3 linked regions of the Zea mays genome follow. Each later gene encodes a partner of the first gene's protein in a complex. Links are inferred from orthologs where the notes say so. Each region holds a gene or a part of one and is shown in the gene's direction. Other genes may lie near its edges.

Region 1 (6,697 bases):
GACGGGCAACCGAATTGGTATGAAAATCTGTCATGAACGGTCGCACATACAGGCGCGCCCGTGATACGCGTCGAGCGGCCGAACGCGCTGATTGCGCGCGTGAGCTGGGTGCTGCCAGCAGCTAGGAAGGAAAGCAGGATATTTCTAGAATAAAGAGATTGCCAGCGGCTAAGTAGGAAAATAGCCAGCGGCTAAGAAGGGAAGTAGGATATCCCTTTCCTAGAATAAAGAGGTTACCTTCTGCAGTGAGGATAAGAAGGAAAGTAGGATTTCTATTACTAAAATTGTAGTCCTAGAATCAGGGAGAGGTTTTCCTTCATGTTGGTCGGCCCTTGGGCTATAAAAGCTGTACCAGTCGGCTGGAAGAGCAGCAAGAATTTTGTCCCTAGTCTTCTTCTCCCTACCAATCTCAAGCCACCAGCAGAGGGGCATAACCTCGTGGTGAGGTCTGGAGCGCGACTACGAGTTACGTAGTCGCGGTCTGGCGACTCTGGGAGCCGAGACACTTGACAATCACCCCATACTTCTGTTTGTTTCCGAGACACTTGACAATCACCCCATACCTCTGTGAATCATCATCTTGGCCTCAGTCTCCCAAGAGCTAGAACCATCAGCAGGTTGTGAATTATTATATTTAGACTGAGTATTGTCAAGTACATCTGAGAGCTCTTTAGAACTGTATATCCTTGTTGCTGATGGACCATGGTTCATACACACTAAAATTCCTGCAAAAAGAAAAACGAATTTATTTGTACCATGTAAAATTTAATAGTGTTCGGTCATACCCAAGAAATATTAGTAAACTGTTCTATATGAGGTTTCCATTTTGTATTATATGTGCTGGTTATTAACCTCTGTCATGTCCATAGTTTCCCTACTCTAATTGGTGTCCTCTGCTAACAGCTCTTTCCTTGGATCTTCTTGTGGGCTTGGAGTCAATTCTAACTATCTGAGACTAAGAAGGAAAAAAAACAAGTGCAACAGCATGGCCAGCAGTGTTAGTAGTGTGAGTAGCACTTCTGATGGAAGTCAGCGTGCAGTTGCTACTGAAGGTGATATTGTAGCTGATGCTGACTCAATGTCCTGTCGTCAGTCTGATATGCCATCCAACAATGATACTCTCGGTAGTAAGATGGTACTGTAATCTATTCCTTTACTCACATATTTCAGTATACTGAGTTGACCTTTTTCCTGTATTTAAAACACAAAATGGTATTCTTTTCTCTCAACAAGTTATTGATATTTATGATATACTTTTGATATATGGGAGATTATCCATGTGATTACCAACCATCTCGAATGAGATACAAATGCAAAAGGGAGGACAGACTGGCTTAATATACCATCAGCTTTCTCTTCTTGTAAATGCATAACGCTTGAAGCAATCAATAATTAAGTTAAGTATGACATAAGTGACTATATTCTTATTTTTATTTGTGGAGAACAATTTATACCTTTGAGACATTTTAGTCATCCTCAAAGAGATACAGAAATGTGAAAAAGTATGTTGACCTACTCCCTCCATTCCAAACTGTAAGCAGTTCTAGCTTTTCTAGATACATAATTTTTGCTATGCACCTAGATACACATTAAAAACTATGTATCTAGAAAAGTCAGAACAACTTACAATCTGGAAAAAATGTACTTAATTATTCATAATTTTGATTCAAAAATACATGATACTTTTAAGTACTATGTGATGGTTGTAGTTAAAAACGAGACACAAAGCTGGCTAGTAATAGATAAATCATAAATGGAGATACACGGATGCACATGTTTCACTTCTCACATAGATTTATTTTGAGAAAGAGTCATGACCACCTTGGTTGGTGATGGTGTACACACAGATTCTGACTGAACTAGGCTAGATTCCTGCACGTTAATAATTTGTGTGACTAAACTGTGCGCAAATATAAATCTGCTTTACCTCTGCTTAGATAACGCGGTGGCCCTTGACCATGTCTTTGTTCCTTCAATGCTAAAACCATCAGAGTTGTCTGTAATTTCTTGCCTTTATGGAGCTCATGTGCCAGATTTCTGTTTGTGTGATTCAGTCACATCTACACGTTGCACTTTTGAGACTGTTGAGATGTTAACCATTTCTTTTTTAGGAACCGGCCTTATAAGCAATATTGTGATACTCTTTACATGAATGTAGGGGTGTCAGTATAATCATGATGCTTTGTGTAATTAGGTATCCAAGCGGCCTCGTTCTGAATTAACAGAAGTCTCTTCTCATACTGGCAAAGATGTTTGTGAAAACATACAAGACCCGAATGGTCAGGTTGGACACTCTTGGGGCTGGGACGATGAGGGTGTCGTTATGGACATCAATATACTTCTGTCAGAGTTTGGAGATTTTAGTGACTTCTTTCAACAAGAGGAGTTAGATTTTGGTGAGGTAGGTATTCTATATACTTGTAGTATTTTATTTACCTTCGGAGCCATTACTATAACATTCAAACAGTGACTCAATCAAGTCTGAGGCACTCTTTGATAGTGCTGAGCTCAACTTAAATGGCTATGAGCCTATGATAGAAATATGACATTTAAAATCCAGTACATTTTAATTCTGACATGTATATGTCATCAGCCGCAATCTGCTAACTGGAATAAACTATATTGACTCTTTGAGTTGCATTTAATATTGCTGCATTGCTACACTAATGTTACAAGAGAAATTTACTACTGGTTCCTTGTCTCTATTTTAACCAACTACGTCACTACTGTTTTTTATAGTGTTTAAGTTATAACCAATGACCTCTGTTAGAGCTCATAATTTAAACTCATTGATTGAAAAACATTTAATTGTGGTGTCACTAAAGGTGAAAGAAATTTCTTATAGCGTGCATTCTCATCCCCTATTTAACTTTTACTTTAACTAGTTGTGAAATGACTATTGAATTATCTGCTCCTTGGATTTATTTGAAGATTTACCATGCTACTTTTGATGATGGGGAAACTGTCATCATATAAGTTTTATTTAAGGAGTTAGCATGCTACCTTTGATGATGGGGAAATACATCCCTCTATGATTACATGGCTGTTTAGAGTGGCATCTTTGTGATTTACCTGTAGTATTAATTCATGTAACTGAAAATTCCATTTCATATAGCCTCCAGGTACTGCTGAATCACATGCTCTAGTAATTCCTGCTTCAGACTGTGGAGATGTCACATTCACAGATAGTCCATCAACAGCAATGGATATCCCTGAACAAAGACTTTCTCCTGTTGGTTTCACAACTTTGGATGCATTTGACCATCAAATTATGGCCCCAGCTCAAGATGTTGTTGCTAAAGTTCAAGAACCTCATAATGATACTGCAACACCTGCACAGTCCCACTCGCAAGTTTTATCATCTGGAAGATTTGATTATCTTACCAAAGCTGAAGCAAAGCTCACATTTGCTCCAGAATATGCAGCTGTTGAAATTTTGATTGCTGAGGCCCCAACACCATTGTTTACAAATCCATACTTTCCTAGATCAAAGAAACCAGGCAGTTCTAGTTTTAGTGCAAGAGTTTATTCATATGATGTTGCACAAAGCTCTCAAATTGAATCCACAGGAGACAAGCCAGATAAGACTTCTAAACTAATATCTGGTAATCATTTACATGATATTAGTTCATCAAACTTGTACACACTTGTCCAAGGTGGGAATAAAGGGAGTGATAAGATCTTAAAGAGTACTGATACACAGCCCTCTAAGGGAGAATTGTCACCACCTATTTCTGGTGTGACTTCATTTAATTTTTCTCTTGTTTCACAAAAGAAGAGTGGCAACATGTTCAATGCTGGCTATTTTCTGCTGTCTATGAAGACTGCTTTGGCAACTGAAATTGAATGCATCACGTTCCAGGCTGCCATGTGCAGAATTAGGCATACACTATTGTCTCTGAGAAGCAAAGCATCTGCCGAGTTTAACAGTGCAACATCCAGCTTCATACAGACAAATGTCAGCAACAAATCAGATCTCACCCCCAGGTATGACATGAGAAAAAAAGAAATTATGACTGTAAGGTTATCTAGTGATATTGATCATGAAATGTTTGACAGATCCTTAATGGACAATGTGGGAGTTTGGAGGCCTGTTGTTACACCTAAAGGGCCTAAATCTCTTGAGTCTTTGTCTGCTAACACATTAACTGGTGCAAGCCCAAGTCTGTCTATACAAAGACAACCTGTTGTAGATCTTCTCTGTGCCATGACTCTGCTTGTTCAACAATCTACTTCGTTTGTTGATATGTCACTTGATATGGATGACGGGGACGGTTCTTTTTTCTGGCTTTCCCTGGATGAGCAAAAGAGACGTGGATTTTCTTGTGATCCTTCTATGGTTCATGCTGGCTGTGGTGGCCTATTAGGAACATGCCATTCAAAGGATTGCGCTGGTGTTGATTTAGTCGATCCACTTTCTGCAGAGGTAAAATCTTAGGCTGGATGTGCTTGCTTCATTTTTTTTATTTTTTATTACCACTGGTACTTGCGAAAGGGCTGAGTTGGTTAGGTGGTGTGACTAGCACTCTTCAGATTCTAAGTTTGGCTCTTCTAGGAGCGAATTTCAGGCTAGGTCTAAAAAAGGGAACATATCTAATGCAATCATACATATTGGTGCAACCATGCAACCAAGACACAAACATGGGGTGCTGCAGGAGGCAGAGGGCTCCTTGTGTTGTCTGTTTTGGCGCAGGCTGATGTTGTTTAGTTCCTAGGGGGGTTGCTGGGGTTTTCCCCACCCCCCTAGTTCTTTGTATCTTTTCTTCTTCTCTTATTAATATAACACGCAATCCTCTTGCGAGTTCGAGAAAAAAAGAAGGCCTTCCCACTTCCATGTTTGTGTCTTGGTTGTATGGTTGCGCCAATTTGTATGGTTGCACTAAATATGTACCCGTTTAAAAAATCCCTTCGGCTGCCCCACATCAAAGCACATGTCTAAGGCCTGACCCTGGTCATGGGTGTTCTTACATGGGCTACAGTGTATGAGTGGGGCAAAGGTTCGGGGGATTTTCTTGACCTGCGTGAGAAGGTCTTCTCTATATATGATGCCCGGGGGCTGTCCTACCCCCACAGGTCAAGTTTTTTTTTATTATCACTGGTACTTGTGTGGTACATTGTTTCTCCATATTCCAGTATTCATGTTCAGTCCCCTTTGTACAGGTTTCAGAGCCATCCATGATTAGCTTGTTGCAGTCAGATATAAGAGTAGCTCTTAAAGCTGCCTTTGCAAACATGGATGGCCCGTTATCAGTAATTGATTGGTGCAGGGGTCGAGGCAATGCTGCTGAGTCTGCAGGTACGGGAGATGCATACTCTTTTCAGTACTCCAGTGGTGATATCCTGGAGCCGTCAAGTTCGTTGTCCATTGGTGGAGATTCAATGAGCCCACCCCAGCCAACCAGTAGCAATCGAGGTATACCTGCTGTGACCTGCACTCTGAACTTGATAATTCTGCTGCAAAAATAATATTGCCAAAGGGAGGAAGAGACGATGATTGTATCACAGGAGATTTGCGTGTCACTGCAGGCATTTCAGAATTAGAGTTCCAAAAGGGATATCACCGTGTCAGACCAACCATTGCTGTCCTCCCTTCACCTTCTATGCTAGTCGGGTAATGTATCTTTTATTTTCCATGAATTGTTTTATCCTGCTTAAGCATATGTATTTGCATGAGTTACTGATGCAAGCATTAAAACTGCAGTTACCAGGATGATTGGTTGAAGGCCTCGGTGAATAGTCTTAAAACATGGGAGAAAGCTCCTTTTGAACCTTATGCCTTGCCGAAGCCTGTAAGATTAGTTTGGCAGTGTTCTGTCACTACCTTCTTTTGCTCCTTTCCTTTCATGCTGCTTCTGGGGAATTCCTCCTCTCCAAACAGGGTCTAACTACTTGAAACTATCTTTTTAGCACTGCTTTTAGCCGGGTTCGTGAATATTTTTTTGTAACAGCAAAGCCACCATAGCGCAAATGCCGCAGCAGCACCCCCCCTCCGACATATACAGTTAGTGACTATATATTCGTTTCATTGATTTTGTCATCTGTTCTCTTTTAGGTTACTTACTATGCACTTTGCCCTGATATTGATATGTTGACTTCGGCGGTAGCTGATTTTTTCATGCAGCTTGGAACAGGCAAGTGATGTTTTTCTTGCTTCGTATTTTCTTTAGTTATTTCTCATGAATAATATTGCTGATATAATCTATTCCCCGCGTTGAGTCTATCCCTAAATAATTGCCAATTTATAGTACATGCAGCTGAACGTAAGTACATAAGCTTATATGCTTTTAATATGGCTCATAACACTATATTTTAAACATAAACCAGATGTCACCATAAACATGATTCACGTATCCCCCCCTTTTTTTTACAACAGTACAGAACGATTGATGTAGGCAAGAAATACTTTTGCCACTCCAGCAGATTTATGTACTTCAGCATGTTCTTAATCTCCAAACCTTTGTTCCAGTTCATTATGATGCAAAGTGTTTTTAATAGCATTTGTCATCATTAATTTTGTGTTCCTGTAGTTTATGAAGTTTGCAAACTGGGAACTCATTCGCCCCAAAACAATGGAGGACAAATGGAACTATCTCCTGGAAAATATTTGCCTTCAGGACTTGTTCTAGTTGATTGTCCTGAGCAGTTGAAGAAGGTTCGCTGTGGCCACTTAGGTCCCATCAGTTCAACAAGTGACTGT
Region 2 (7,312 bases), on another chromosome or scaffold:
TGACAAAACTATGCACCAAACTGATAGGCCTGAAATCTTTAATATTATCAACTCTATCTTTTTTGGGGATCAAGGTGATATAATATGTGTTGAGGCGCCCAAAATGGACAAAGTTTCTGCCCCAAACAGCAGAGATGGCAGCCATAATATCAGGTTTAATAATTGCCCAGCAAACCTTGTAGAACCTTCCTGTGAAGCCATCAGGGACTGTGCCTTATCTGAAGGAAGGCATTTGATTACATCCCAGACTTCTTGCTCAGAAAAGGCGGCTTCCAAATCAGCCAGGTCATAACTAGGCATCCCAAGAGCATCCAGCTCAATCACCCTTACCCTATCCTTATTGATCCCCAGCAGATTGGTGTTGAATTGGTCCACACAATCAGCTTTCTCCCCATGGCCGGTTAGGATTTGATCCCCATCAAGGCATCAACCAACCTTGCCACAGTTTTTCCTCTTACGGTGATGGGCATGAAGATGAAGCAATTTTGTATTTGCATCCCCATCTTTGAGCCATGAAATTCTTGCTCTCAACCTTGCCATAGTACGCTTGAAAGAGGATAACAATAACGCTTGTTTTTTGAGTCTGAATTTGAGCCATAGCTCAGCAGGGCTGAGCACTCTTCCATCCTAGGCTATTTCCAGCATGTGTAAGATTTCTTTGGCAAGTGCTAGTTGGGATCTCACATGCCCAGCCTGCTTTTCGCTCCAGGCCTGCAATCTTTTGGCTGTTTTGCAGCTTCAAATCCAGAGATTTAAAAGGACATGGAATTCAGCTCAAAAGAATTCCATGCAACAATAACAGTATCCTGAAAACCCTCGATCTTGGTCCAAAAGGATTCAAAGTGGAAACGCCTTCTTCCGGATTTATTGTCACTAAGCCCCAGGATTAGAGGACAATGATCTGAATCATGTGAATCGGTACTCTGAAGGACATTGGGGAAGAGCAATTCCCAATCCACTGAGCAAAACACTCGATCGAGCTTGACTAGAACAGGCACATCTTGTTGGTTGGACCATGTGTACTGTCTGCCATGTAAGGGTATTTCTTTTAGGGCCATATCCTCAATTAATATTCTAAACCTACCCATCATAGCTCCGTTGAAACTATTATTGTTCTTATCTGAGTACTATAAGTCAGACAGTTGAGTTCGAATGAGAAATTTATGTAGATGTTGGTATACATACTGTTTCCTTGGCTTCTTTCTTTCATGCACATGGACCAGTTTCTATTTTGCTTGTTTCCATATCAACTAGCAGAACACATTAGAGTGCATTGTTCCATGCCCTGCTATTTCTTTTTTCTCTCTCACTATTTCCTACTTATGAGAGTGGTCATAAATCTTATTATAATATTTATATTTAACAACTATTAAAAGATCTGTACCCACTGTATGAGTCTTTTTATAGCAAAAAAATATTATTATATTTGTATGCATCACTATTATCTGTAACTAATAAGCTTGCAAAACCATATTTTTGTCCCACTGGTATTAGACTACAGTGTGGATGGTGTTCATACGCTTTCAGTGAATATGGTTCATTTTGATATTGCTATAACCAAATATACATTCATGTCTATCTACTGGCATAGCTTTGGATTTTAAAGTGAATTATAGCATAACACAGATCAATATACTGTTTTCTTCAAATATAGAACTGTTAATGTTCTGCTGCCACAGGCAGTGGTGGATCCAGGAATGGATCAAAGGAGGGGCTGCTAAAAGAAGGTTAGTTTTTTTAGGCTGAACTAAATGATATATCAATGTTTAATATAACAAAGTAACAAGTATAATTCAAATCTTCAAGACACATGTAGACAAAATAAGTAGGTACGAAATCTATAAATACAATACTCAATATATACCGCTCAAGATATCTCCATCAGCTTACTCATCCTCATCTCATATTTCAAACCCCACTCTATAAATAGTGCATTCTACAGTGTAAAACAATGTTTTACACGGTCATATGCACGATCTGCTGGCCATAGCCTCATGAATTACGGTTGCAACGTAAATTTATCTTTCGAGTTCTTATGCCTTAAAAACGTTTCAAAATCTTGTGCTGGCTGCAGCGTGCGCCTTGCGCTGGCCTGCACCTTGTGCTGGCTGCTGGGCGCCTACACGCTGCTAGCTGCTGCAGGTGTGTCGGCCATGCACGCTGGTCCGTGGCCGTGTCCTGCGTGGCGGCGTGGGTGCACAGTGCGCTGCCCGTCAGGCTTTGTGATGCGGCACTGGCACTACTGCAGTGTTATGGCACGGATGGGGGCCAGGCGCGCGTGTGTGCGGCACTACTGTTTGGTGCTGGTGTGCTGTGGCGACATGGCTGCGTGGACGAGATCGGGTGCGGGTGCTAGATGCCACGGTTAGATGGAAGGCTGTTACCTATTTTTGTTGGATTTTATGGACTAAAATTATGATATGATATAAGTATTATTGGACCGGGGCCGCCCCTGGCCACAAGTATGTGTAAATTGTACATTTTAATGGGCATTTACAACAGTGGCATTTTTTTATTTTAACCGCAAAATGATGCTAGAAACTTTTCCAGTGGCTGTTTGCCTTTGGGTTGAAAATCATTGGCATCTCAGCAGGTGTCTCTAAATTAATTGACTGGCTGGACAGCTGATTCATATGATATTTTGGGTTGTGATGAGTTAATATGACAGTTGGAATTTTGGGTGATATTTCATATTTTATACCTTTTTGGCTTCAATGTTTGATTTACTACCTTTCTTCCTTTTATGATTAATGAATGTACAATTGTACATGCAGAACCTTGATAGGATTAAGTGTAGGTTGTTGGAAGGAACAAATGCCCAAGATGTACGGGCACTTGTGTTGGACATGCAAGCAAGATTACTTCTGGATATGCTAGGCAAAGGAATCGAGTCTGCCCTTACAAATCCATCAACTCTGCTACCTGAGCCCTGGCAAGCTTCCAGTGATATGTTATCCAGCATCGATGCTGACAAAATGACTGTTGAGCCAGCTCTGCTTCCAAACATCCAGGTCAAGCTGTCTCCTTTATGCAAGTTGTTTCTATTTCATAGCCATGGAACTTAAATTCAGCTATCTAACATTCTTTCTTTCTTTTTACTGACTTTATTCTTTTAAGACTTGCTACTGAGCCGTTTTTTTTCATTTTATAAAGTAGTGAGCAGTATATTGGTATGCTAGATCACTTCCATGTAAACGGTACTTTAGTTATGTTGGTGAACTCATGTGCAATGTCTGTTATCCTTTGCCAAAACTGGTGTATTACAGCCTTTTAATGTTGAGTATTGTATAAATTTCAGCACAGGTTATCTGCATAGGGATTCTTTATGTTACTAGGAAATAGCTTATTTTATTTGCATTCAAATGCAGGGTTACGTTGATGCTGTTCTTGATTTAGCATCACATTTCATAACTCGCTTGCGGCGTTATGCGAGTTTCTGTCGAACTCTGGCGAGCCATGTGGGGCCATCTTCTACCACAGGCACTTCTAGAAATATGGTTACAAGTCCAACAAACAGTTCTCCTTCGCCATCAAATAATCAAGGTTAGCTATGCCTGCTAGCTTGCTAAATCTTGTGTTTTTCTCTTGTTTGTGCGCAAAAAAGTACATCCAAACCTTATGTTTTCTTCATTGCAAATTTGAGGCTTAAAGTGTTGTTTATTTAGTGCTGCTAGCATCTTGATGCTCCTTCAAATTTCAGGTAATCAAGGGGGATCAACATCTGCAACAGGGAACTCACAAATGCAGGAGTGGGTCCAAGGTGCAATTGCTAAGATTAGTAACAATTCTGATGGTGCTGCCACTGCAACACAGAATCCAATGAGCACGAGGACATCATTTATGCCCATCAGCATTAATACGGGCACTTTCCCTGGCACACCTGCTGTGAGACTTATTGGGGATTGCCATTTTCTTCATAGATTATGTCAATTACTGCTATTTTGTCTGCTTTTCCGAAGAAGGCAATCACCAAGGTTACTTGCCAGTTCGCAAAAAAATCAAGATTCTGCCATGCAGAAAATACAACACATGATGAATGCTAAGACAGAAGATAACAGTTCGACAGTAAGATCTGGTCTAGGGGCTGCCAAAGTAGAAGAAGGTCACTCTGCGCGTGGTGGACAATTTGTTCTTGGTGGTGCAAAGGGTCCTGAAGAAAATCCAATTGGCAAATCTGTTAGAATAGGTTCTGGCAACGCTGGGCAAGGTTATACTTCAGATGAGGTGATTATCAAATTCTTGACAAGATATAGTATTTTTTACAGAGTTTAATATTGAGTTATACTAAGGAAACTTTGGGAGTTAGTGCTACCAAACTGGGACTGATCGTTGGCATTTGAACTTTGGGAGTTAGTGTGAAGAAGCTGACGATGTGCCAAATGCGCTGGAAAACTGGTGACCTGAAGTCCTGAACATAGTGATTAGTTTGGAAACAACTATGTTTTGGCTCCTGCATTTCTTTGGAAATGTCTAGCTTTGGTTGCTATGGGAGAACACATGTCGATATAGCCATCATAGAGTGCAATTGCGTATGTAGGTTATTTTGGACCCTTGATTTAAGCAGTTTAAAATTTTGTCCAGCCTAGCATGAACAACAGTTTGATTGCATATGTCGTTCATGATCTCTATTGAGTGATTTATCAGATGCTTTACAGATCTGTCTTTCTATTCTTTGGAAGATTTCTTTTTGTCTAGTTTATCTAATTATCTCTGTAATTTTATTTCATTGTTGGTAGGTCAAGGTCCTTTTTCTTATACTGGTTGACCTATGTCGAAGGACATCTACCTTGCCGCATCCATTGCCTGCCTCTCAGGTTGGTTCCAGTAGCATTATCATAAGGCTGCACTACATTGACGGCAACTACACAGTGCTCCCTGAGGTAGTGGAAGCGTCTCTTGGTCCCCATATGCAGGTACTAGTCAAATTCTCATGGAAGTTTCTAATGGTCGCTTTCGTACTATTTGTGGCCATTTTGAGCTACCAACATCTATCAATTATAGGAGTAGAAGTTGATTTTCAAGTGCACGACTCAGAGATATTGCAAGTCTTCCTGTTTCGAACTGAATTCAGGACGACCACCTTTAAATGTTGATTAGGATTCTCTTAGCAGAAGTTATCTTTTTTGTATTAGCCATTTTTTATAGAAACATGCACTATTACTGCCAGGGCCTTAGACATGGCATTTTGAGTGATCCCTCGATGCCTACTTCCCCATCTATTTTCAATATTTCATTGTTTCCTATGTCTGTAACTCTGTAGAATATGCCTCGTCCACGAGGAGCTGATGCTGCTGGACTTCTACTTCGAGAATTAGAACTGCAACCTCCTGCGGAAGAATGGCATAGACGCAACATGTTTGGTGGACCCTGGTCAGAACCAGATGATTTTGGTCCATTGGACAATATGCCTCGTCTAAAAATTAGTGGTTCCATCAACTCTCATTTGTCTGACATGGAAGTGGATGCTGTCAGTTCCATTGGGATTGATCTTTGGCCAAGAAAGCGTAGGTTATCTGAAAGAGATGCTGCATTTGGTCTGAAAACATCTGTAGGTCTTGGAGGTTATCTAGGTGTCATGGGATCTCGAAGAGATGTTGTCACGGCTGTGTGGAGAACAGGTCTCGATGGTGATTGGTACAAGGTGAGTATGGTTATGGTCGCTTTACCTTTTGCTGTCAAGTCTGGGTTCATAGTTCCTTGACGAGTTCTTTATTAGAGAATCCTGGTTACTCCCCTAATATACTTCGATGCCTAAATTTGTTGTTTCTTCTTTCTAGTGCATACGTTGTTTGCGGCAAACTTGTGCATTTGCGCATCCTGGTGCCCCAAATCAGACAAATGAACGTGAGGCTTGGTGGATCAGTCGGTGGAGCCATGCTTGCCCAATGTGTGGGGGTTCATGGGTGAAAGTTGTTTGAGCGCTGTATTTGGCAACAACTTCGCTGCTAATTGCTTTCCTGACAAACATGTATGGAGTTCCATAGTTATGCATCTAACGCTAGGCTACTAGGATCAGGTTCAGCCGTTCATGCCAGATGGTTGGTCTACAGGCACATGCACGTGGCACGACCACTGTGGAAGTCTGGTAGAATTAGGAGCTATTCTGGGGGTCTGAATATGTAACTGACATTTGCATTATGCTGTCTAGTGTATTATTAACCAGTGACTTTCCTTGCTAAAAAGGTGTAGCATCGTTACTTGTTCAGCGCTGGACGTACTTTTCATGTTTTGTCAAAGGTTTAGTAGCGCATGGTGTGTGTTGGTAAGGTTCTACTCCTTTTTCTTTTTAAGACAATGATACACAGCTTCCAGCGTGTTCCAGAAAAAAAAACAAAAGATCAAGTATTACTTCTTGGGATCGTGTTCCATTAAAAAAGAGATCAAGTATTGTTCCTTGGGACACGTTCCAGAAAAAAAGAAAGTATTGCCTCTTGGCACTCTGTTTATGTTTCATTTCGAAATGAGACGTCGGCGTGCTTGTCTGTTTGCTGTATTGTTGCAGTTTCTTGAGTAATGTACTTTCTCCGTCCTAAAAAATGTAATTATAAAATTTATACCAGTTAAACAAGTTTAACTTTGATCTATGACAAATACTATTAACAGTTATGTCTTCAAATAAGTTTATTATAAATTATATTTGTGATTAATCTAAATATACTTATTTTATATTACAAATGTTAGCATATCTTTATAATTTTAATTGAATTTTAAAGCTCTTTGTTTCCACGTGTAGTTTTTGGACCTTAGTTTTGTGGGACCATTCAAAATCAAAAAGGCTCCAAGCTCCTCAAAGTGGGATTTTGGCTCAGATGTTTTTCTTGGCTTTTAAAAGGTTCTAATTTAAGGTCTAAAAGCTTTCAATTGAAATAAACATGGCTTAAATTATTTGACTTCTCAAAAAATGAAGTAGCTAGGTTCTATTATCGCTACCTCTACAAAATTGAATAAGGAGAGGATTTTAGCCCCTCAAATCCCCTCCGGTTCTGTGGCTGGCAGTCACAAAATCGGAGGGATTGAAGTGACTAAAATGTTCTTCTTATTTAAAATTAAATAAGAAAGGGAATTTAGCCCTTTTAATCTCCTCCGGTATTTTATCTCTCAAACAAGCCTTAATTGAACAAAGCCCTTAGGAGGTTTTCTTTTACCTCACCTCCTCCCTTATATATATATGTACTTGTATTTTCTCTAAATCAATTAATCCTATTCCTACCATCATCTAACATGTCAATTAGAGCCTAGATCCTCTTTTTGCGCTTTCGCTTATCGACTGCCCTCTATGCAGTCGTCACCACCCCTAGTCGTCTCCTCCCTA
Region 3 (5,369 bases), on another chromosome or scaffold:
CCAAAGGCAAGGACAGCCTGTAATAATTTGTAAACTCGAAGTAAGTCTTTGTTTTGCATTATTGGTCTCCAAAAAAATATAGTATATTGTAAGAAATTATAAAAGTTTCTAGTAGTTTTTTGTTCTGCAGCATTACTTAGCAGAAATAATGGTTCCTGAGTTCCTGAGATATGATGACACTTCTATGCTCTTTGTAGATCTGTATGAACAACACTTCTATGCTCGTTCAACTAAGTTTTGTGATATCTTTGACCCATCTTTTTGCTAAGACTGGAAATAAACTAGTTTTGAATAAACTTCTGAAGTTGTAATCGTGTTTTTTTAAACTTCAGGTAGAGAGAATTTAACCCCTTTAGAAATGGACTGTATCAATTGCTGCGGATGCCCATTTTGAGCCATAGTTTGTTATCACCTTCAAAGCTGGAGTCTTACTTGTGCAGCTCTTTCGCTTTTTTGTTTTGACATTTCTCACTTTAACAATGTCTGACAGGGTTATAGGAGTGGAACAGCGTCTGAAACGTAAGTGTCTGATTTTTTGCAATAAACCTTACATTTTCTTGAATCTCTGTTATACAGTGTTTTCTGTTGATTACTATGATTGAGGTAAGTATTTCTTGTTAGTTGATGTTATGTTGTCGTTGTCCTTGTCTTGAAAGAAATGATACTAGAAATTTTCATTGGGTATGTTTAACAATGGAACCTTTTTGTGGTACTTTCGAATTATGCATCTAGACTTAGTAGGAAACTGAAAGCCGTACTTTCTGCATGCAGACTTGCAGCGGACTGGCCAGAAACAATGCAGATTGTTCGCCTCATAGCCCAGGAGCATATGAACAACAAGTTTGTTACTCATTCTTTTCAATGCCAACTTGTTGCATCATTTTCTTGTAAATGTGCTGTGAATGACATATTTACTTGGTTATTCTGCAGACAATATGTTGGCAAGGCAGACTTTCTAGTTTTTCGGACTTTAAATCACCATGGGTTTCTTGTACAACTACAAGAGAAGAAGCTGGTCAGTGCCTGAGTCTATTTCTTTTTAGTCTCTACTGTATTTAAGTGGGAAAATCGTTGTGCATTGGGTCTCCCTCAGCGCGGCGCAGCGCTCTCCCACGGGAAAAAAAATAAGAAAAAAGAGAGCATACTAGCGCTCGAACCGTGGCCCTCTTCTATAGATATTCTAAATATTGTGTTACACAGAGGATAAATATTGTAAATATATATACATACTAATACATTTAAATTTAAAAAAATATAATCATGCCACGTCGGACCGGGCCGGCACTATAGACTGAGACGGTGGCTCAGGCACGACATGGTTCTCAGGTCGGGCCGCGGTACTGTTAAATGGGCCGTGCCTTGGGTCAGTCTGCTAGACACGACCTATTTGGCTATCTATAGTACAATACCTTCTTTCTCACTATCTCTGATCTCGTGAGCGTGGAAAAAAGCGAGAGAAAAAACTTCATCTCATCTCACCACACATCCGGTTTAGACCGTGTTTGAATAAATATCTTATTTAAATAAGATTTATCTTTATGATATATAAAAACCGTAGCAACGCACGGACAACTAACCAGTAATTTTGTTATTTTGCTGCGGTTCATCTACTGTCGTTTCATACACTTAGTTTTCTGTCAGTTACTTTATACAGTTCTAATATCCAATTGGTCCTGGTTTCAGTGTGCTGTGATACAGTTACCATCGCAAACTCTGTTGCTGTCGATGGCTGACAAAGCAGGTCGTTTGATTGGCATGCTCTTCCCTGGGGTAATCTTGATTGTAGTTAAATTAATTAATGTTCTGCATAATTATCTGCATTTACTAAATGACCTTTTCCCAGGACATGGTGGTGTTCAAACCGCAGGCCTCAACTCAGCAGACACCAATGCAGCAACAGCAGCTACAGCAATTTCAACAGCAGCAGCAGCAGCTGCAACAACACATGCATATGCAGCCGCAAGGCCTCCCACTTCAGCAATCACAGATGCAACTCCAGCAACAGCAGCCGCAGATGCAACCGATGCAGCAGCAGCAACCTTCGCAGATGCAGCAGCAGATGCAATCGATGCAGCAGCAGATGCAGCCAATGCAGCAGCAAATGCAGCATCAACAGCAACAGATGCAGCATCAACAGCAACAGATGCAGCAAATGCAGCAGCAGCAGCAGCAACAACAACAACAACAACAACAGATACAGCCTCAGCAGCAACAGATGCAGCAAATGCAGCAGCAGCAGCAGCAACAGATGCAGCCTCAACAGCAACAGATGCAGCAAATGCAGCAGCAGCAGCAACAGATGCAGCCTCAACAGCAACAGATGCAGCAAATGCAGCAGCAGCAGCAACAGATGCAGCCTCAACAGCAGCAGCAACCCCAGATGGTGGGTACAGGAATGGGGCAGCAGTTCATGCAGGGGCACAATCGGGCAGTGCAGATGATGCAAGGGAAGATTACGCCACAGGGGCCGGGCAGCATGCCTGGGGGAGGCTTCCTACCTTAAGCACCTTTTATCAGCAGGCATCAGATGAATTGAGGGTTTACACTGACCCAAGTGTTGAGATGTCAACTTCATTTGACAGGGTTAGGGAATAGTCACTCGGGGAGTGTTGCTAAAACTTAATCTGAAAACTTAAGCATCCCTGTCACCGATAGGTAAATGCCAGATGTCCATGCATAGGTGCATACTTTATGATATGGTGGTGTACTCGTAATCTTGAGTGACTTTATGGCATTGTTGTACTAGCCGTAAACTATTAGGTATAACAGAATTATTATTTAAACTACAGTAAAATAAGTGACCTGTGTTGTTTAGGGTTTAAATGGTACGTTAAATAGGTAGTTGAATCATTTAAGCAGTTTAAACTGTCTAAACGATTTACATTGAATCGAGCTAAACATGATTAAATAAGCTAAACAACCATTTAATTCATACTTTATTCAATATTAGCATGATTAAATAAGCTAAACAATCATTTAATTCGTCGTTTAGTCAATATTAGCAAAATTGTTTGTTGCAATAGGAATGTAAGTAAAATAGACTGATGCATAAATTTTAGTATTTGATGATTAACATAATCATTTGAACTAATATTGCTTGCTAGTATTTTAAGTAACATTATTTATTAGTATTTATAGATATAGTTTAAAGGATGCAAAGTGTATTTGAATGAAGATAAATTGGTGGTATAAATGATCAAAACCTCAAGCAAGACATTGAAAAACGTGTTGAAGACCTTTTATAAGAATATGTAGATGCATCCGAATTGAACACAAAGATCATAAAAAACTAAGAGAACACTTTGAGCATATATTGGACTATAACTAACCCTAGCTGGCACAGGAGGAAAAACATCGACAAGGGCATAAGACCATATGCTACACTGTTCATGCTTACAGGAGCGTTAGATCGATCCTGTTCAAGGGTTAGGGTCGTTGGGCCATTGAAGACAGAGACCGACGGTCACTAGAGAGGTTTCAGAGAGGGAAACCGAGCGCCAGACCCACTAATGTTGACACAGTAATGACAAGTTCCTTCTTCTGCGAATATGAGATAGACCGACAGCCGGTACGTGACTAAGGGACTGTGGGAACAGCGAAAGACCGGATTCTAAGATATAGGCCAATCAAAAGGAAGATGGTGAAAGACCACCACAAAGAGACCCTCGCTCACGCCTTAGTTGCGCAACCAGTGCCGTCTCAGATTTCATCAGTGCCTTCTCTACCTCAGTCGACTGAGTGGCTCTTAGACTCAGGAGCTTCTCATCATGTCACCGGTGACTTGCTTCGCACCTGTCCTCTTATTTTGCTTATGCTGGTTCAGATACTCTCACCATTGGAGTGGAGTGGAGATGGTACTGGTACGAAAATATCCCACATTGGCTCTTCTCCCGCGGCCTTGTCTCATGGTTCCATTCACGCTTCGCGCCCGGCCTCTCTCTCGCCTTTTCCCACAACTCATTCATAAAACCAGTTGTCCGTACACTCCTCAGCAAAACGGAGTGGCCAAGCGCAAACATAGACACATTACCTTAGCGGCCTTGCTGTTATGCAACACGCTTCTATCCCGGTTCCTTTTGGGATGAAATATTTGCAAGTGTGGTCTATCTCATCAATCGCTCCGCGCCTCTTCTTCTTCTCTCTCTCCCTTCACACAATTGTTTCATAAAGACCCGAATCTTCGTATTCTCAGACAGCCTCACCTCAGACCTTACATTGATCACAAGCTTCAGCCTCGTTCGATGCCGTGTATTTTTCTTGGTTATGCACCACAACAGAAAGGTTACCACTGCCTTCATATACCAACTAACAGAATTTGGATTTCCAGACATGTTGTCTTTGATGAAAATAGGTTTCCTTTTACGGAGCTCTCTACATCTGGATTGACCATTCCCGAGTCCACCATCGAGCCGGCACTGGCACCATTACGAGCGAGGTAGGGCAGCTAGCGAAACAAAGTGCGAGGGATGGATTCGTGCATGAATGTCAGATGGTTGTAGTGGTGAAGCTCGTGATGCTCTGGATGAGACTGACTCTGTATGCCCGAAAGGACCAATCAGGTGGATCATTTGGATAGAGGAAGAGATGGGTGGGTGCACTACCCTGCCGCAGAGAAAGAAGACAACTCTATCTCAGAAGTGAGCTCCGTCTCACAAGTTAGCTCCATCGATCTTCTCGAGAGGAGCAGTTCAAATCACCCTGTACGGATCCATTGGGATCTGGTCGAAGTAACGGGTACCAGGTTTTTCCTGGAGTTGCCTTTATTCGTTCATTTCTGGTTGAAATATGGGCTGTTTTCTGTGTGGGTCTAGGAAATCCGAATCTGCTTTCCATAGGATCGTTTGGATATTAATCGATTAAATAGGTGTCTTCTGCTGCATTTCGAGTTAATATGTGTACTCTACCGAACGAGGAGGGTCGAGTCGAGGGAACACTTCCTTGACGAGAATCGCTAACAACTCCTTTTCTTTGACGAGCTTAAACCACTCCCGGATTCCTAATCATAGCTTTTGTGGGCCTCCCATCGATAATGGTATGGGTTCCTCGGTCTCATTATGCATCTGTTTTGTTGCAGTTTTGAACTGTAGTGACACGGGTGCGTTTTAAGAATGGCAGCAGGTCTAATTATTCGTACTTTCGGTGCATACCGTAACCTGGCCTAGTGAAGGAACCTTCCTTTTGCAAAGGGTAGAAAAGTTACTAATAGCTCTGCCTCAAACAAACCCAATTATAGTGATCGCCCATATTGGATCTTTCGTATCGAAAAGTGATAGGAATGCATTTCGCGGGTGAGACTTGCCTATTTCCTTTGGATGCCTATTCATATGTTTTGTGAACAAGTGAGCAGCTGGTACTCTAGTATACTGTAG

The links.
Region 2: Mediator of RNA polymerase II transcription subunit 13-like (region 1) and uncharacterized protein LOC100216950 share a complex: the UniProt entries of both Arabidopsis thaliana proteins name them as parts of the mediator complex. The link is inferred for Zea mays from reciprocal best matches to the Arabidopsis thaliana genes GCT and SFR6.
Region 3: Mediator of RNA polymerase II transcription subunit 13-like (region 1) and mediator of RNA polymerase II transcription subunit 25 share a complex: the UniProt entries of both Arabidopsis thaliana proteins name them as parts of the mediator complex. The link is inferred for Zea mays from reciprocal best matches to the Arabidopsis thaliana genes GCT and PFT1.

Annotation. Positions count from the first base shown.
Region 1 is NC_050104.1:30,387,585-30,394,281, forward strand, and holds part of Mediator of RNA polymerase II transcription subunit 13-like, read left to right. Parts: intron 1-903; coding exon 904-1,135; intron 1,136-2,194; coding exon 2,195-2,401; intron 2,402-3,115; coding exon 3,116-3,987; coding exon of another isoform or gene 3,988-4,059; coding exon 4,060-4,426; intron 4,427-5,160; coding exon 5,161-5,413; intron 5,414-5,526; coding exon 5,527-5,611; intron 5,612-5,701; coding exon 5,702-5,789; intron 5,790-6,052; coding exon 6,053-6,131; intron 6,132-6,527; coding exon 6,528-6,697. UniProt on the Arabidopsis thaliana protein: Component of the Mediator complex, a coactivator involved in the regulated transcription of nearly all RNA polymerase II-dependent genes.
Region 2 is NC_050096.1:232,622,229-232,629,540, reverse strand, and holds uncharacterized protein LOC100216950, read left to right. Parts: upstream 1-2,975; coding exon 2,976-3,011; intron 3,012-3,368; coding exon 3,369-3,543; intron 3,544-3,700; coding exon 3,701-4,224; intron 4,225-4,736; coding exon 4,737-4,913; intron 4,914-5,260; coding exon 5,261-5,641; intron 5,642-5,777; coding exon 5,778-5,918; 3' UTR 5,919-6,370; downstream 6,371-7,312. UniProt on the Arabidopsis thaliana protein: Component of the Mediator complex, a coactivator involved in the regulated transcription of nearly all RNA polymerase II-dependent genes.
Region 3 is NC_050097.1:178,587,852-178,593,220, reverse strand, and holds the end of mediator of RNA polymerase II transcription subunit 25, read left to right. Parts: coding exon 1-40; intron 41-490; coding exon 491-519; intron 520-771; coding exon 772-840; intron 841-930; coding exon 931-1,015; intron 1,016-1,683; coding exon 1,684-1,770; intron 1,771-1,843; coding exon 1,844-2,503; 3' UTR 2,504-2,823; downstream 2,824-5,369. UniProt on the Arabidopsis thaliana protein: Component of the Mediator complex, a coactivator involved in the regulated transcription of nearly all RNA polymerase II-dependent genes.